2 linked regions of the Alligator mississippiensis genome follow. The protein of the gene in region 2 purifies or fractionates together with the protein of the main gene of each other region. This does not show direct contact. Links are inferred from orthologs where the notes say so. Each region holds a gene or a part of one and is shown on either strand. Other genes may lie near its edges.

Evidence for each region.
Region 1: the proteins of GPC1 (region 2) and HADHB purify together in Homo sapiens (co-immunoprecipitation; 3 studies listed by BioGRID and IntAct, counting the BioPlex papers as one, with this or other methods). This does not show direct contact. The link is inferred for Alligator mississippiensis from reciprocal best matches to the Homo sapiens genes GPC1 and HADHB.

What each region holds. Positions count from the first base shown.
Region 1 is NC_081824.1:1,490,628-1,498,286, forward strand, and holds the start of HADHB (trifunctional enzyme subunit beta, mitochondrial), read left to right. Parts: upstream 1-4,424; 5' UTR 4,425-4,432; coding exon 4,433-4,523; intron 4,524-5,855; coding exon 5,856-5,930; intron 5,931-6,498; coding exon 6,499-6,540; intron 6,541-7,659. Other genes in the region: HADHA (trifunctional enzyme subunit alpha, mitochondrial), read right to left, coding at 4,138-4,231. UniProt on the Homo sapiens protein: Mitochondrial trifunctional enzyme catalyzes the last three of the four reactions of the mitochondrial beta-oxidation pathway.
Region 2 is NC_081830.1:42,556,793-42,564,499, forward strand, and holds the start of GPC1 (glypican-1), read right to left. Parts: upstream 3,243-7,707; 5' UTR 3,061-3,242; coding exon 2,904-3,060; intron 1-2,903. UniProt on the Homo sapiens protein: Cell surface proteoglycan that bears heparan sulfate. Binds, via the heparan sulfate side chains, alpha-4 (V) collagen and participates in Schwann cell myelination.

The sequences.
Region 1 (7,659 bases), on a different chromosome or scaffold from region 2:
CTGCCCACACCCTTCCAGGTCGAAACCGACCCATCCACCACGACTTCCCCACTCAGACCTCCTAAGTCGCATAGACTTCATGCTGCTTGAGGTGGAAACAGCCTAAATGGCTGCTCCTGTAGAGCCATTCCTCCTGTAGAGCCACGGAGAGAGGCTGTTTCCTTTTAGCATCTACCCACAACATCCATCGCTGCTGAAATCCCACCTGCTTCTGTTCAGCTTTCACCAAGAAGCTCTCTCAAGAGCAGGTCAGGACTACCAGTAGCCACTGCAGCCGACACATGCTTCTCCTGGGCCTGAGAGCCACAGACCTCAACACTAATAAAAATGCTGCTCCCCAACTAGCATGCTGCAAATGCACTGGATGGGAAGCATAAACTCCTGCACTCACAGCTACTACAGAAGCTTATATATTGAGCATGAGCAAGATCCTTTGGGCTGTGGCTTTTCCAGAGGCAAGTGATTTCCCAGAAGAGGGAGCAGCAATCAATGAGGCATCAGCAATCAGCCTACATGCTCAGATAAGCAGAACACGTATCCTGCACTTTGCTTTGCAGCTGGGCTCTTCCTCCACCCCCAGCCACGTGATCTTGGCTCATCGCTGAAAGCGATGAGTGCACTTTGGCCTACATTCTGCTGTGTCTCCTGCAACGGGAGAGGACGTGAACTCTGCCCCACATTCCAGCGTGCGCAGGATGCATGGAGGAGAAACTGCTTTGCGGGGATGGAAAGTGTGTGCCACATTTAGATTTGGCAGCCTCCTTCCTGAAAGGGTGGGAGTGATGTGCTCCCAGCACCATTTGATAAAGACACTTAGCAACCAGTTCACACCTTCAGACTGCTCTTTCAGAAGATTTTTGGCCAAGAAGGAGGTCTAGATCGTAAGCGCTCTGTGCAACCTTTGATATCCTTAAGCTTCTAAGAGAAGCTCACAGACTTATCACCTAGAAATCACCTCATCTCCAAAAAGCAAAGCATTCACATGACTAGCATCACCCCAGACGCAGCCAACTTAGAGAGCAGGTGTGAGAACGAAGGGATCCATTTGCCATTCAGCTAAAAATGCAGCCCCGATTTGTGTCACTTTGGCAGTGTATACCTAAGAGAAGGGCAGCTGTGAGCTGCCTTGTAGCATATCCTCACTTGGGCCCACAGAGTGCCCCATTGTAGGCACAACAAGAGATGGGCAAGGAAAAATATTGACTCCTGCTGACCAAAGGACAACAGGTAGCAATTCCCCTCCTACCCTCATATGAGGGCCTGTGTTAAGGTCAACCTTAGTACAGGAAGGGCAGCAATATAACAGGAGCCATAAACAGGTGCACTGTTATATGGAGTATGAAACGTCTGCACGATGACATACGGCAGCGTTCCAGACTTCACCAAATACAGCTACATTTCTAAGATGTAGCTACATTTCAAAAGAAAAAAGACTCGATTGAAAAGTAGATAAATAACTGAAGAGATGAACCAATCTTCTGCCATTTCAACGGTCTAATAGACATTTGCCGCTGCCCCTTATAAGCTTTTCTTAAAAGACGCATGCTTCCCATTCTCACTTTCCCTTCAAGTTTCAGTAAGAAGGTACAAAGCCAAAAATCTGGAACAAGACACCATACATGTCACCACAGCCAATTCCTCTGTACGCTGGCTATTTAAACAGATTGCAAGCTCTTGGGGCAGGAGTTTCTCAGTACAGTTAACTAAAATTTTGATGGCACAGAAAAACCTATCAGAAATGGCACAAAGCAGAGACAGATGCAGATCTCAGGCTGTTACTTGGTTCTGAACATAAAAGGTCCCATTGACGGGGAGACTGAGGCACACAGGAACTAGGGAGGGAAAACTTGCTACCCATCTTGTAAATTACTAATTAGAGGGCACAAATCAGAGTTCGGACAGCGCTGAGTCCACACACTCATTTCAAAGTAGGATTGTGCCTATTTGGTGAGGCACCACCTGTAATAAACTACAGAATGAGCAACATCCCATTTACCCTAATAGAATGGTCTGTCATTTTGTTTCATTTTTAAATTTTCTGCCCTATTTTATTTGCTTTGCACTGTCTCTCTTTCCACACTTCCCCACTCAGGCCTCCTAAGTCGCATGGACTTCATGCTGCTTGAGGTGGAAACAGCCTCTCTCCGTGGCTCTACAGGACAAGACCATTTCATAGACATTAGGGCTAGAAGGGACCTCGGAAGATCTTTGTGTGCAGTCCCCTGCCCCCAGGGCAGGAAGTCACCTGGGGTCACAGGATCCCACTTGAAGTTCTGGAGCTACTCTGAGTATGAAGGGAGTACGAAAACTGATGCTTAGCATGGCGGGCTGTTGTCTAAACTTGCAGCCCTGCTCCTGGGGGCTGCTTACACACACAGCTGCACTTGAAACACCAAGAGATGCGAGATACAGGACCGTCAAGGAACCGTCTGTTTGCAACTGGGGTGTGAGAGGATGGATCCAAAGTCCACGCGGCTTTCATCACATCAGCGGCTCTTTTTGGTGTTTTGCCTACCCTTACAAATCTTGAACCTTTTATTGGGCAAAGACTGACGGGGGGGTGGGGGGGGGGGAAACATCTGAAGAACAAAGAACAATTTCCAGACAAAACTTCCATCCCCCTTATGGACTAGGAGCAATGGCCTCAAGCTGCAGCAGAGGAAATTTAGGTTGGAGATTTGGAGGAACGTTTTTGACCGAGAGTGGTCAAGCACTGGAACAGGTTACTTGGGGAAACTGTGGTGTCTCCATCCCTGGAAATATTTAAAAGCAAGTTGGACAGGCACTTGGCTGGGATGGTTTGGTCAGGGATAGCCCAGCCTTGAGTTGGGAGGTGGACGAGATGACCTTGCGAGGTCTCTACTAGCCCTACTTTCCTATGATCGTGGTGGTGGGGGGAAAGTAAAGGTGAAACATTACATATTTTAAGGGGCAGCATTAACAATCAGAACAAGGACTCTACAAGCAAAAAATAAAAATGCAAGTATACAATACGGCTTCTGCCAATTCACCCATCACATTATTTTTTAGCGCTCCTTGCCATAGTTTGCATGGTCACAGACATTTAGATTGATTTAGAGCTGTAACGCTGTTTCAAAACCCAGGTCCCTTTGTACGACACAACTTTTCACGTACCGGGAGTAAAAAACCTCCCTCCAACGATCGCATCCCGCGACCAGCCAAGGATGAGCGCTGACCGGCCTCTGGCACCGACGCAAACAGACACCAAGAACTGGAACAACCAGCACGAGACAAAGCAACACGTCCCACTGTAAAGACGCAGCCCCCAGGTTAAAAAGCCCAAGGAAACCGGTGATCTCTCATCAGCGGCAAGCGAATATACCGAATGTAGTTCGTTTTGACCCTGAGATTAAGCCATTCGATTTAAGCATCATAAGCTTTGCTCTTCTGTTTGACTGGAGAGACGCCCACAGAGAGCTCTGGCTGCCACGGACCTGACGCTTCTCTGCAGACACACTCACGTGCTGGTCGCCGAAGTTGCCTTCCCGCGCTACGAAGTCAAGAAGCAGGAATTTGCTCGTCGTTCAGCCCCAAGGAAACGCCTCCCCCTCGTTCCTGTCCCCCTCCCCAAGGTGAAAAACTCCTTTGGAAAAGGAGGGAGTGGGTCTATTGATATCTGGGGGGGGGGGGGCAGTGTGAGACGCTGACCCCAACGAGCCCCACGCACCTGAACCGGGAAGGGGACGCTCTGGGGGAGGCTTCAACCCCCGCAACACATGGAGGGAGCGGGGGAGGGGGGAGGGGAAGGAAAGCGGGGGGGGGGGTGCCCCCCACAGCACAGCACGAGCATCGCTGCGCCCGCACCGGACCGCCGCAGGAAATTAATCGCAAATCATCGTCGAAACGCAGCGATTAGCCGCAAATCATAACGCAACGCAGGGCGCGACCGCGACTCGAAAAGCGAATCCCTGCGATTACGAGTGGGGTTCACCTTCAGCCCGCGAATCACAGAAATCAAGCGCTGATCACGGGCGCTGCCCCCCCGAATCCTACTCAGTCATGGGCGCTGCCCTCCCCCTCTCCATCAACCCCCGGAGCCTCATCCATCACGGGAATTAATCATCTTAATCGTTAATCGCACAAATTAGTCACAAATCCTGATGAGCCGGCGCTCACCGCGGAGGAGGCGCAGGGCGCGGGGGCAGAGGCCGGGGCGGGCGGCGGCCGGGATCCGCGCGAGGCTGCCCATGGCGCGCACCGCCGCCGCCATCTTGCGCAGGGAGGTCAGACGCGGCCACCCTGCCCCTCGCGGGGGCCTTTCTCGACGCCGTCGCGCCCCCGGGCTGCCCTGGCGGTGCCTGATTCGCCGCCGCCGCCCTCGAAAGCCCCCGCGAGCCCCTCCCCCGCAACTGGCCCGTGCCCGCCGGGCGGAGGAGGCGGCGGCTGGCATCAGGCAGCGCAAGGGGCAGCTATGAGGGCTGGTGGCGCGGGGTCCTCCCTGGCGGGGGGCCGGGGGCAGGGGCGGGGCTTGCGGGCGCGGGGAGACGGCGCTGGGGCAGGAGGTGGGTGCGGGCGCGTGACGTGACGTGGGGCGCCCCCGTCTCCATGGCGACCCCGAGGGGCCTGGGGGCGTCAGGCGGGGAGGGCTGTTATGTTGGGGGGGGCACAAGTGACACGGGCGGAATGGGGGTGCGAGGGGGCAGGGAGCGGAAAGCGGAGCAGGGGAGTGGGCAGGTAGCGGAGAGCAGAGCAGCCGATGGGGCAGGAGCACAGGGCTGGGAGCGGAAAGCAGAGTAGTGGATTGGACTGAGAGCACATGGTGGGGAGTGGAAAGCAGAGCAGCCGATGGGGCAGGAGCGCGGGGCTGGGAGCGGAAAGCAGAGTAGTGAATTGGACTGAGAGCACATGGTGGGGAGCGGAAAGCAGAGCAGCCGATGGGGCAGGAGCGCGGGGCTGGGAGCAGAAAGCAGAGTAGTGGATTGGACCGAGAGCACAGGGCGGGGAGCAGAAAGCAGAGTAGTGGATTGGACCGAGAGCACAGGGCGGGGAGCGGAAAGCAGAGTAGTGGATTGGACCGAGAGCACAGGGCGGGGAGCGGAAAGCAGAGTAGTGGATTGGACCGAGAGCGCAGGGCGGGGAGCAGAAAGCAGAGTAGTGGATTGGACCGAGAGCACAGGGCGGGGAGCGGAAAGCAGAGTAGTGGATTGGACTGAGAGCACAGGGCGGGGAGCGGAAAGCAGAGTAGTGGATTGGACCGAGAGCACAGGGCGGGGAGCGGAAAGCAGAGTAGTGGATTGGACCGAGAGCGCAGGGCGGGGAGCAGAAAGCAGAGTAGTGGATTGGACCGAGAGCACAGGGCGGGGAGTGGAAAGCAGAGTAGTGGATTGGACCTAGAGCACAGGGTGGGGAGCGGAAAGCAGAGTATTGGATTGGACCGAGAGCGCAGGGCGGGGAGCGGAAAGCAGAGTATTGGATTGGACCGAGAGCGCAGGGCGGGGAGCGGAAAGCAGAGTATTGGATTGGACCGAGAGCGCAGGGTGGGGAGCGGAAAGCAGAGCAGCCGATGGGGCAGGGGAACAGGGCTGGGAGCGGGAAGCAGATCTAGTTGGGCGGAGCAGTAAAAGGGGTCGCTAAAATGCCTTGGCTGGGTGTGGGGAAGGCAGGTTTACTTACACGTCCGTAGTCCGCGCTGCGCACGGGGCTGCTCAGAAACGCACCGGAAAGACGGGCCCGGCCCTAGCGCACCAGCGTGACCTTGACGTGGGTTCTCGCGTCTCCTTTTTCGCCGGCTGCGTGGCCCGAGCAGATTGCCCGCCCCGAAATCTCCCCGAGCAAACCAGCCAAGGCCGACTTTCATCTTTTTTTTTTCTCTCTCCCCTTACCATTGGTTGTAGATATCAAAATGACTTCCATGCTGACCCGTGCGATCCGAAGCCTCCCTTCTGCCTCACCGTGGGCTGTTGGACTCTGTAAGCATCTTTCTGTTTATTACCAATCGAATAGATGCAACCCAAAGAGATGCAAACATCTAGTTATTCTGAAGAAGTGGGTTTCAGGTGGACTCGGGAACGATCCCTGCATCCAAGTCTCATGCTAACGAGTGATTAGGAAAAAAAAAATGCTGCTTTTATATTCATTTCTGCCTAGGAGAACTTTTACAATCTTTTCTCCTAGGCTTGAAGAAGTGTGCTTGTGTCTGAAAGCTTGCAAATAAAGAATTTTTTTTGCAAACCTCTAGTTAGTCTAGTAAAAGATATCACCTTTACCACGAGTTCTGGTTCTTTCTGCTTTTAACATGCAGTTTTCTTACCTTCTTGCTGTGAAAATAGCACGTGTGTTGGTTATACGTAACATGCTGTTGAACGTGCAGTCAACTGAAAAAACCCACCTTTTTGCCGAATGCTTACCTGCAGCTGCTTTTGGTTACTTGAAACGGAAGTAAGAAAAGACCCAGCAGTTGTTAAAGAGTGCAGGTAACTTCCAGTAATTGTTTTGCCTGAAGACTGGAAAATTTTATACGTTTTCTCTTTATTTCAGCTGCAAGATCACTCAGCTGCTCCCCCCAGTTACAAGCAGCAGGTAAGGTGAAAGCACCAAAAACTTCAGTGGGTCTCTTTGAGAAGAATGCATTTACAAACTACCTCCCCTTCCCCAGGTGCTTCCCATGTAGATAAACACAGCAGAGGTTTTCCCTCTGTCCCTGTCTTTTTAAAACTAATGAACATCAACATACATTGTTAATTAGGCAAACAAAAACCCATGTTTTTGGAACTGATTTTTCCCTAAGTCCTTTCAACTCAACGTCAGGATCCTGAAAGTGAAACCGGTTTGATTATTGTTTGGGTAGATGACAGTTTAAGTATCTCTTGTCTCTTCCTTTTTTAAGTAGGGAACAAATCCGGTTTGTTGGCTCTGACATAGGCATAGGTGACTGGCAGGGCCTATATAGAAAGCCCTGGGTGAGATAAGGACTTCCCTTCAGCTCTTAGTAACAGTTGCGGAGACGCCGTAGGGGTAGAGAAGGCTCTAGTCACAGCTTGGAAGAGGGACTTGGGCTAGAGCGTGGACCGTGCGGCTCCAGTGGGACATTTGGACAAAGAGGATGAGCTGGAAGGGCCTAGGCTCCGTACTTATGCCTGGGCTTCCTGTCTCCCAAGAGCTTGCCTCTGGCAAGGACAGGCTTGTGGCATTAGGTATGAAGTCTGATCTGCTCTGAAAAGGATGCTCAGGCTTCAGTGTAGGTCTGTGTAATTAAGCCCTCAAAATGTTTACTGAGGATAGTGTTGCATGTTATTTCACTGAAACAATTGCTTTAACCCTGAGGGGGTTTTTTCAGTGTCTAAAGACCTCTGAATTTTAGAGCCCAGAGGCTCTGAGCTGGGAAGTGGCTCCTGCCTGCCCTTGCTCTCCTCAAATTAACCCCCTTTCATAATACAAGTGCACTACACCGTTCTCTTACATGAACCTTTGCTTGCTGCAACCCCAGCTAGAGCTAGAGCTAAGCTGCTTTCATGTACCATGCCCCTTCTCTGGTGGCTTCTAAATACGATCCCTTTGTACTGTCCCGTGTCTTAAATAAGATTCTTGGCCAGACTGCAACTGGAAGCTGTCCCATTGACTTTTGCATTACTCTCTTGTCCAGGATAGCTTCTGACACTAGTCAGGCAAATGATGCTGTATTGTGTCACCTTACAGTGC
Region 2 (7,707 bases):
GATTAAAATATGTGAAGGGTGATAGAAATGTGCTAAAATCAAAATAAATGCAGTTAATTCACTGAGTCGGAGCATGCATTACTAGAACACCTAAAACTTCTTGTGAAATGAAAAAGTGTAGGTGCGAGTGGCCCTTTCAACAACAGCCCTAGAGTAGACCGATTGCTTTTCCCTCCTAGCAGAACTTGGAGTCGGTCCTAAGAGCAGCAGCAGCAATGTACTCTGCTGGTAATCAAATTCTTGGAGGCAGGGAACGATGCTAATAAAGTGAGTTCTCACTTTGCTGAGGGAGGAAAATGGGAGAGAAAGTGGGATAGGAAGGAAGAAATAAAGGATAACTGAAGTGGGAAAACAAAGTGAACAAGGAAGGCTGGAAAACCGGTGCTCTCCACTCCTTCTAACAATGTGCATGGGTAGCACTAGGAAACGGCTTCCTCAAATCACCTCACAGGTCAAAGTAGAACTAGGCTGCTTGTTACTGAACTATCTTAATCAGCATTTTTCTTTTTACTTAACTAATGCTGCTCCTGCTGTTTGTTGATGTGTAGACATTTCTAGACGTGACTGGAATCTTAATCTGACGCAGGTTCTGCCATATGGATTATGGCCCTCTTGGTCACCAAGATGAACTAAATACAGAACAAGTGGTGTTAAGTGACCATTCAAAGTGCCAACAAAATTGGGTTGCTTAACAAACTGAGCTGTTCACAAGTGTAGAATGGTATTATACTCAGTACATTTGGGGATGCTATGAAGTGGTTTCTTCTCAACTACTACCATATTTTTATTAAATATAGACCAAACATCTTATACACAGTGATAGTCAACAAATCAGAAGCAAATACAGTATATTACCATGTGTCAAATAACATTTCCCATACATAAGCATATTTGTAGCAAAATACATTGATGTTTTATCTCAACTGGATGGATATTAAAGCTACACAGATGGAAATTTCGAAATACTTATCAGTTTCAGGCATGTATGACTGTGTTCATCGTTTTGATGTTTCAGTACAAAAGCTGGGAGTATTGGCAGCAGCATATTTGTGTGGATAGATTCTTTTCCCTGGTCCTATCTACAGTTCATTAAATAAATTCTCATAAGAATATATATCTGATTAGAAGACCATATTTATCACCATCACTATTAATCATAACATATAGTCACAGACAAGCAGTTTGACACTACATTATTTCAGCTACTGTTGTTTGAGCCTGCAAGCGTGCTAGCGTTTAAGAGATAATAAATGTAGCTCCTAAACATCTCTCTCCTCCATTATATCTTTACTAAACTCAGCATTTTCTAGACACAATAAGTTTTATATGTCTTGGACCCAGAGATATGTGATATTTGTATCTGATGCAATGCATTTCTCACAATCACAAAATACAACTGATATTGAATCCTACGGTACTATCATTCCATTTGGCACCTTATCCACCTCCACATGACAATATTTAAGTGTTCAACTCCCTTGAAAAAACTTCACAGTTGTTTGACATGTTTAAGCCATTGCTTACAGATACACGGAATAATCAAGAACAAAGAAGTGATGTTTTTGCTTAACTGAATTCATTTTTAAGGAGCTCCCATTTAAAGGATTTTTAAATTCTCCACAGGACCTTCCTATTGTACTTGAAAATCTCCCTTTGGTTCCTACTTAATAAAGAAAATAATCATTTGTTCACATTTATATGCCATTTACTTGAGCTGAAGATCAACCTCCTCCATTTTCAGGGCAGATAATGAAGACATTTGCTGTAAAACTACGCTATAAAGTATTCAGCATAAGAAATTCCACCACTCAGAAATGAACTACAAACTACAATTTTGCTGGGATGTCCCCGTAGGTTGGCTTTGGCACGTACGCCTGCATGCCTTACGCTTTGTCTAAACTGGGAAGCTCCCACAAGTGAGCAAAAAAGCTCCTAGATATGGGTCACAAGCTGATGAATCAGAACGTAGAAAAAAAAACTTTTAAGAAATAAAGAAGAGGCATGCGTGAAATCTCAGCAGATTTTTCCCAGGCTTTGTAAAACCCTACATGAGACCTTTCTATAGTCTCTCTTTTTCTATTTCAGATCCCTTCTGAAAGGGAAACAAAAAACACTGTGCATTTGTTTAAAAAAAAAAAAATCAAATCAAATCGTGTTGGCCCTCTGTATAGATAGTAGTCAGGTAACAGGAATACATGCTGATGTGGGTGGCTGAGGTTACCGCTGCCTTTCGAACACCTGACAAAGAGTCATTTCACTTCGGCTTCATTTTACACAGCTGACAAGTGCTGCTCATGCATTTGTTTCCAATCCAAAAAGAGGACAGGAAAAATCAGTACTGTTCTCTTTATAACCCTGTGGCGTTTTCTAGCGTTGACATGAAACCTGCTTGATCCTGACCGTCTGAGCTGAATCCCCCACATCGCTGCCACTGGAGGAGCAAGACAAAGAGGGTCTGCTATATCCCCCCCCCCACTAGTCAGCCACCTGATATCTGTGAACCGTCACACACCCCGGTTGGCACCAGAGAAACACCCGCTACCCGGGACCATGACAATGGCCGAGGTGACTTTGGGGGTCCAGCTCGGGGGAGAGATGGAAGGTAGGACTTTTAATTAAGGAGGGGGGGAGGGGAGGAGTGGTCCCTAACCCTCCATCCTTCCTCTCTCCTCCGCACCTGAAAACCAGCCCAAGTTCCCGTCCAGCAGATCCCAACTTCAGGGCAGCGGTGGATGCGGATAAGGCGGCTCTCACCCAGACGGGTCCCCGGCCCAGGGGCTGCGGACCGCTGCCTCCGAGTCAGGGGAGGGAGGGAGGGAGGGAGGGGTTGCTCGAGACCCTGTGGGTTTGGGGGGGGGGGGTCTCCTCCAGCCAGGACAAAGCCGCGGCTCGGCGCTACTCACCGGAGATCTCCGCCTGGGGGACCCCGCTCAGGCTGAACCCTTTGCTCCCATAGAGCTGCCGGAGCTCGGCGCAGCTCTTGGCTTTGCCGCCGCTGTCGCCCCGAGCCGAGGAGGACGCGACGCACAGCAGCCACAATCCCCACGGGAAGAGATGCATCCTCGGCCGCTGCGCCCCGCTCCCGGCCCCGCCGCGCGAAGGACGAGCCCAAGGTCCCGCCGCCGCTGCCGCCGCCGCTGCCCCCGGCTGGGGCTGGGCTGGGCTGGGCTGGGCTGGGCGCGCTCACACGACGCGGCGCTCAGCTCCACCTCCCCCGCGCATCCCTGCTCCCGCCGCCCCGGGGCCCGGCTGGCGGGGCGGGGCGGGGCGGGGCGGGGGCAGCGCGGCCGGAGCCGATGCCGCGGGGCGGGGCGGGGCGGGGCGGGCGCTAGCGCGGGGGCGGGGCGCGCATCCCGCGGGGCCGCCGCTGTGTGCCGGCGGGGCTCACCCGGCGCCACCTGCACGGCTCGCCGCGAGGCAGGGCTTCCCCCGCCGGACGTGGCATCACGCCGCCTGCTGCCAATCCGGCCCCGGCCCGGCTCCTCCCCCGCCCGCCCGCCCGCTCGGCTGCTGCCGGGCTTCAGCCCCCGGCGGCCGGAGCCCCGGCCCCGCTATTGTTCCGGGCGCGCCGGCGGCCGGGCGCTTTCCTCAGCCCGACCCGACCCCGCCCGGTGAGGTGCAGCTCCTGGCGCAGGCCGAGGGAGCCAGGGTGCAGGCTCCCAGGACAGCTGCCTTCCGGCAAGGCTCGTGCGGGCGGCAGGCGGCCCTGGCAGGCGCGTGGGCACGAGGAGCCACTTCTTACTCCAGCTGCCCGGATTGACACCCCGACCTGGCAGCTCTTGGAGCCCCGCAGCGAGAAGGAGGATGCAAAAGCGGGGGAGATCTGGCCCCGCAGGCTTCAGAGCAGACTCCTCACCGGACAGATGGAGAAAGGCGGCAGGAGAGGCTTGCCAATTCTGTAGGGAGGGCATGGTAGTCAGGGGTTAAATGCTAAATCTGCCTGTGCTCTAGGCAGGGCCTTGAGGAGTGTAACTGTCTTCTCCAATTTGACTGGAAAACACATTTAAGGTGTCAACATCCAACATAAAGGACCTGGTCCAACATATTTCTGCTCTTTGTCTAACTTCACTAAAACCTGGAAATCCAGCAGGATGCTGGGAGCCAAGGCTTGCATGTTCCATCTTTGAGGATTAAATGTAATTTCTGACCTTTCTGGAGTTCATACAGAAGCAGGGCTTGTCCTCTGCAGACACAGGACATCTTCCAGACAGCGGTGCACACGCTGCCGCACCCTGTTCTTAAAAGCTCCGGTTCCCACTAAAAAGGTGGGAACAACACATGTTAGCACATAGATTCACATCCAAATATGATGTTGCTGAACATAAATTAAGTACAATTGGTTAAGGGTCCTTACACAAGATTTCATATAAATATTTTTTCCTTTTATCTTTTGAATCTGATGGCTTCAGATCTACAGCACAATCTGCAGCTGTTAGACTAACGGGGTACAAAACCCCAGAAAGCTGCCCATATTCTTTCTGGTGACCACACCAAACCACAAAGAAACAAAACAGCAGATTATAAGCATTTGAGAGACGTGTTGGCCCTTGCAGGAATTGCAGCCAGGATTTAGTGGTAAGAGATAACTAAAGTATGAACATTCCCATTTGGGTTAGTTAAGGGACTGAACTCCAGACTTTTGGATGCAAAAGCATTAATCTCTGCCACTTGAGCTAAAGAATCAAGTCACTGAATACAGAAATAGAACCAAAAATGTAAGCCTCCATATGTGGGCTAGCTACTTACTGCAGGATGGTACAAAACAATACTGTGGACTACAGAAGGATCAAATTTGGTATGCTTTTAAAAACTGTGGCACATGGCTAGGACTGGGCTGCATTGTAGTACTTACCTGAGGTCTATTCCCACCTCTGCCTGAACGGTCAAAGCTTTCTCTGAATGATGGTTAAAGCATAAGGTAGAAGCATGAAGTCTTGCTTAATAGTAAATGTTGTGAAGTGCACAGCAGGATTAACCGGCATTAGTTAAAAGGCTAGATTAAAATCCATATTCTCTAGGCTTGTAGTTGAGTGATGGATCACAGGTCTGCACGGGAGGAAGTATGTCATATTCAAGTACTTCTTATTTCTAAAAACTATTGTGCTATGACAACACTGTCTATAGTAGGGGCCAAAATCGTATCACTTAACAGAATCCTAAAAAGTATGTGCTCTACTTATTCAGATTCACCTCTGCAATTTCCTGCATGAAAGATCAGAATATCACAAGCCAGTCTTCATGCTTTGATGGCTAGATATGATACCAGATACCATATGATACCAGACCAGTATGAGGAAGAACTGGTTTATTATCAGCTCTGCCAAAGGCTTCCTGTGTAACGTTTGCCAAGTCCCTTATGCTCTGTCCCTCATTTACTTCTTTGTTAAATGGGCAACAGCACTCTCATCTTGCCCTACTGCTATGAGAACATGTTCATTCATGGCTGTAAGGTGCTCAGAAACTATGTCAAAGGCCACATAAGCAGACAGAAAATTCAGAAGTACTACAAGTTGATTATAAGTTTTGTGGAAGCAGCTATCTGTGTCTGCATGCTGTACAACACAGAAAACAAATCTTAAATAAATAATAACGTGACTGTACTGTTTGTACTGATAAAGCGTATATATGCATCAGAACTTGGTATAAGCATACTTCCCCAAATTGAAATAAAGAAACACATCATGATAAAAATGTACTTTATGCTATAAAGTATACTGGCAATCTGGATTCTCCCCATTGTAGTTCTGAGGCTCAGATCCACTTTCTGAACACTCATTCATTCAGCATTTTGAATTAAAAGGGTGGAGCAGAGTCAGTATGAAAAAGGGGGAAAGCTCTTCCTCCACACATTCCAGAAATCCGCAGTCACTGAAAGAGCTATTTCTTTACAGGGAAAGGATGGCGGGAAAAGGGAGGGGGACCTCACAGAGAAAGAGCCAGGAGAGAAAAGAAAGACTAGAGTGAAATGTAAGGTGAGTATACATAAGAAAGACGGGGGAAAAAAAGAACACAGAAAAGAGCCAACAAGAAGAAAAAGACAGAAAATCCATTCTGCCACGGAGATCACCTCTTGTCAGCTACAGACAGCAAGTGCTGCCTCCTGAAAAGCTGATTCAAGCATTGAGCAGAGGCAGGTGTGATACAGAAGGGCCAAATAAGCTGGCACAAGATAAGAACAAAAAAGAGCTGAAAAGGAAAAAGAAAAAGAAAAAAGAAGTTACATATTCCTGGCACCCAGATCCTCTGAAAACATTATCTGATTCTCTTAAACTGATGGTAAGAAAATCAAAGGCAAACAGCAAAACATAGGTATTTAGAATTCATTTTATTATGATGATAGAGATACTGGTAGGCTTCCAAATTGCTTTGACGTTGTAGATATATCAATAAAACATTGCCCAACTGATCACTGTTTCTTTGTCTCTCTGCCTCCTGCTCTCTCTCTATATAGTGGTCTTTTGTTTTAATTGTGGAAGAACATGGATTTCAGGGTATTGTACAGAGTGACTTAGGGATTTTTTAAGCAGGGGTTCTTCAGTTTTCAAATAGGGAACACTAGAATTTCTGCTGGGGAGGCAAGTGGCAGGACCCAGGCAGAGGAGCCTGCTCTGAGCTGGCACCTTAGACCCAGCTGGAAGTGGTGCACCTCCTGGCCATTTGGGGCCAGGAGGACATGCTTTGACAGTTCAAAGGCCACCACACTGGGAACATCTGTGTGATAGCTGCCCAGATGGCCAGGCAGGGGCACACATGGCAGTAATGCTACACAAAGGCCAACTCTGCAGCCACAGCCTACTGGCAGCTGGCCCAGAGGGGCAGATGCCTCTACTGGCTGTGCAGTCCCCATCCAGGTCTGGCAGTTGCGCAGCAGGTCACAGCCAGGCAGCAGCCCCCACTGCCAGACTGCTGCAGTGGGTAGAGGGCACAGGGAACTCTCAGGGCTGCTTTAGCAATCCAGCTGGCACAAGGGGTAGTGTCCCCAGCTACAAATTGGTCAGGCCCCAGAAGTTCCTGAGAGAGCATACTCCTGAGCTACTTGCCAGGGCAGCTTTTTGTACTGCTGGGGCCAGGACAGGGCAGCTTTTTACACTGCTGGGGCCAGCACAAGTGTTGGCCCCAGGCTCTAGCTTCCCCTGGCCACAGATCTGGGAGGAACCAGGCAGGGTTATATTGCCCCACGTGGCACAACTTTCACCACACCCAAGTGCATGTCGGTACATGTGCTGAGGCAAAAAGCCCTGGCTCAAATTTGCATTGCTTTTATTTGAGCGCACGTGACTACATGTGTGGACGCGCCCAAGGAGTGCAAGGAGCAGGGCTGTTCTCTTGCAGAGGAGAAGCAGGAGGGCTCAAAGCACTAGGAGAATGTCCCCCTCCTACCTATCAGCTGATTGGCAAGATGGGGGGGAAGGGCATTTTCTCAGAGCTTGGACCCTCCTGGGACTGTCTGTGGCAGGTCAACTTCCACTTGATAGCCTGTCTCCTTCTCAGGCAAGCGGGAGGGCAGGCTGTCAATTAATGGGCTCCCCTAAGGGCAGGGGTGGCCCAGGGAGTAGCCCTCTACTGCTCCTTTGCTGGAGAGTTTGCCTGTGAAGTTCTCCAGCCAACGGGCCTGAGGGAGATTTGTACAGTCCAGCTCCCAGGGTATTTTTCTACCATAAGCAATTTCTTCTGGTAGAAATTAATGTCTGCACTCAGCCTTAGCCT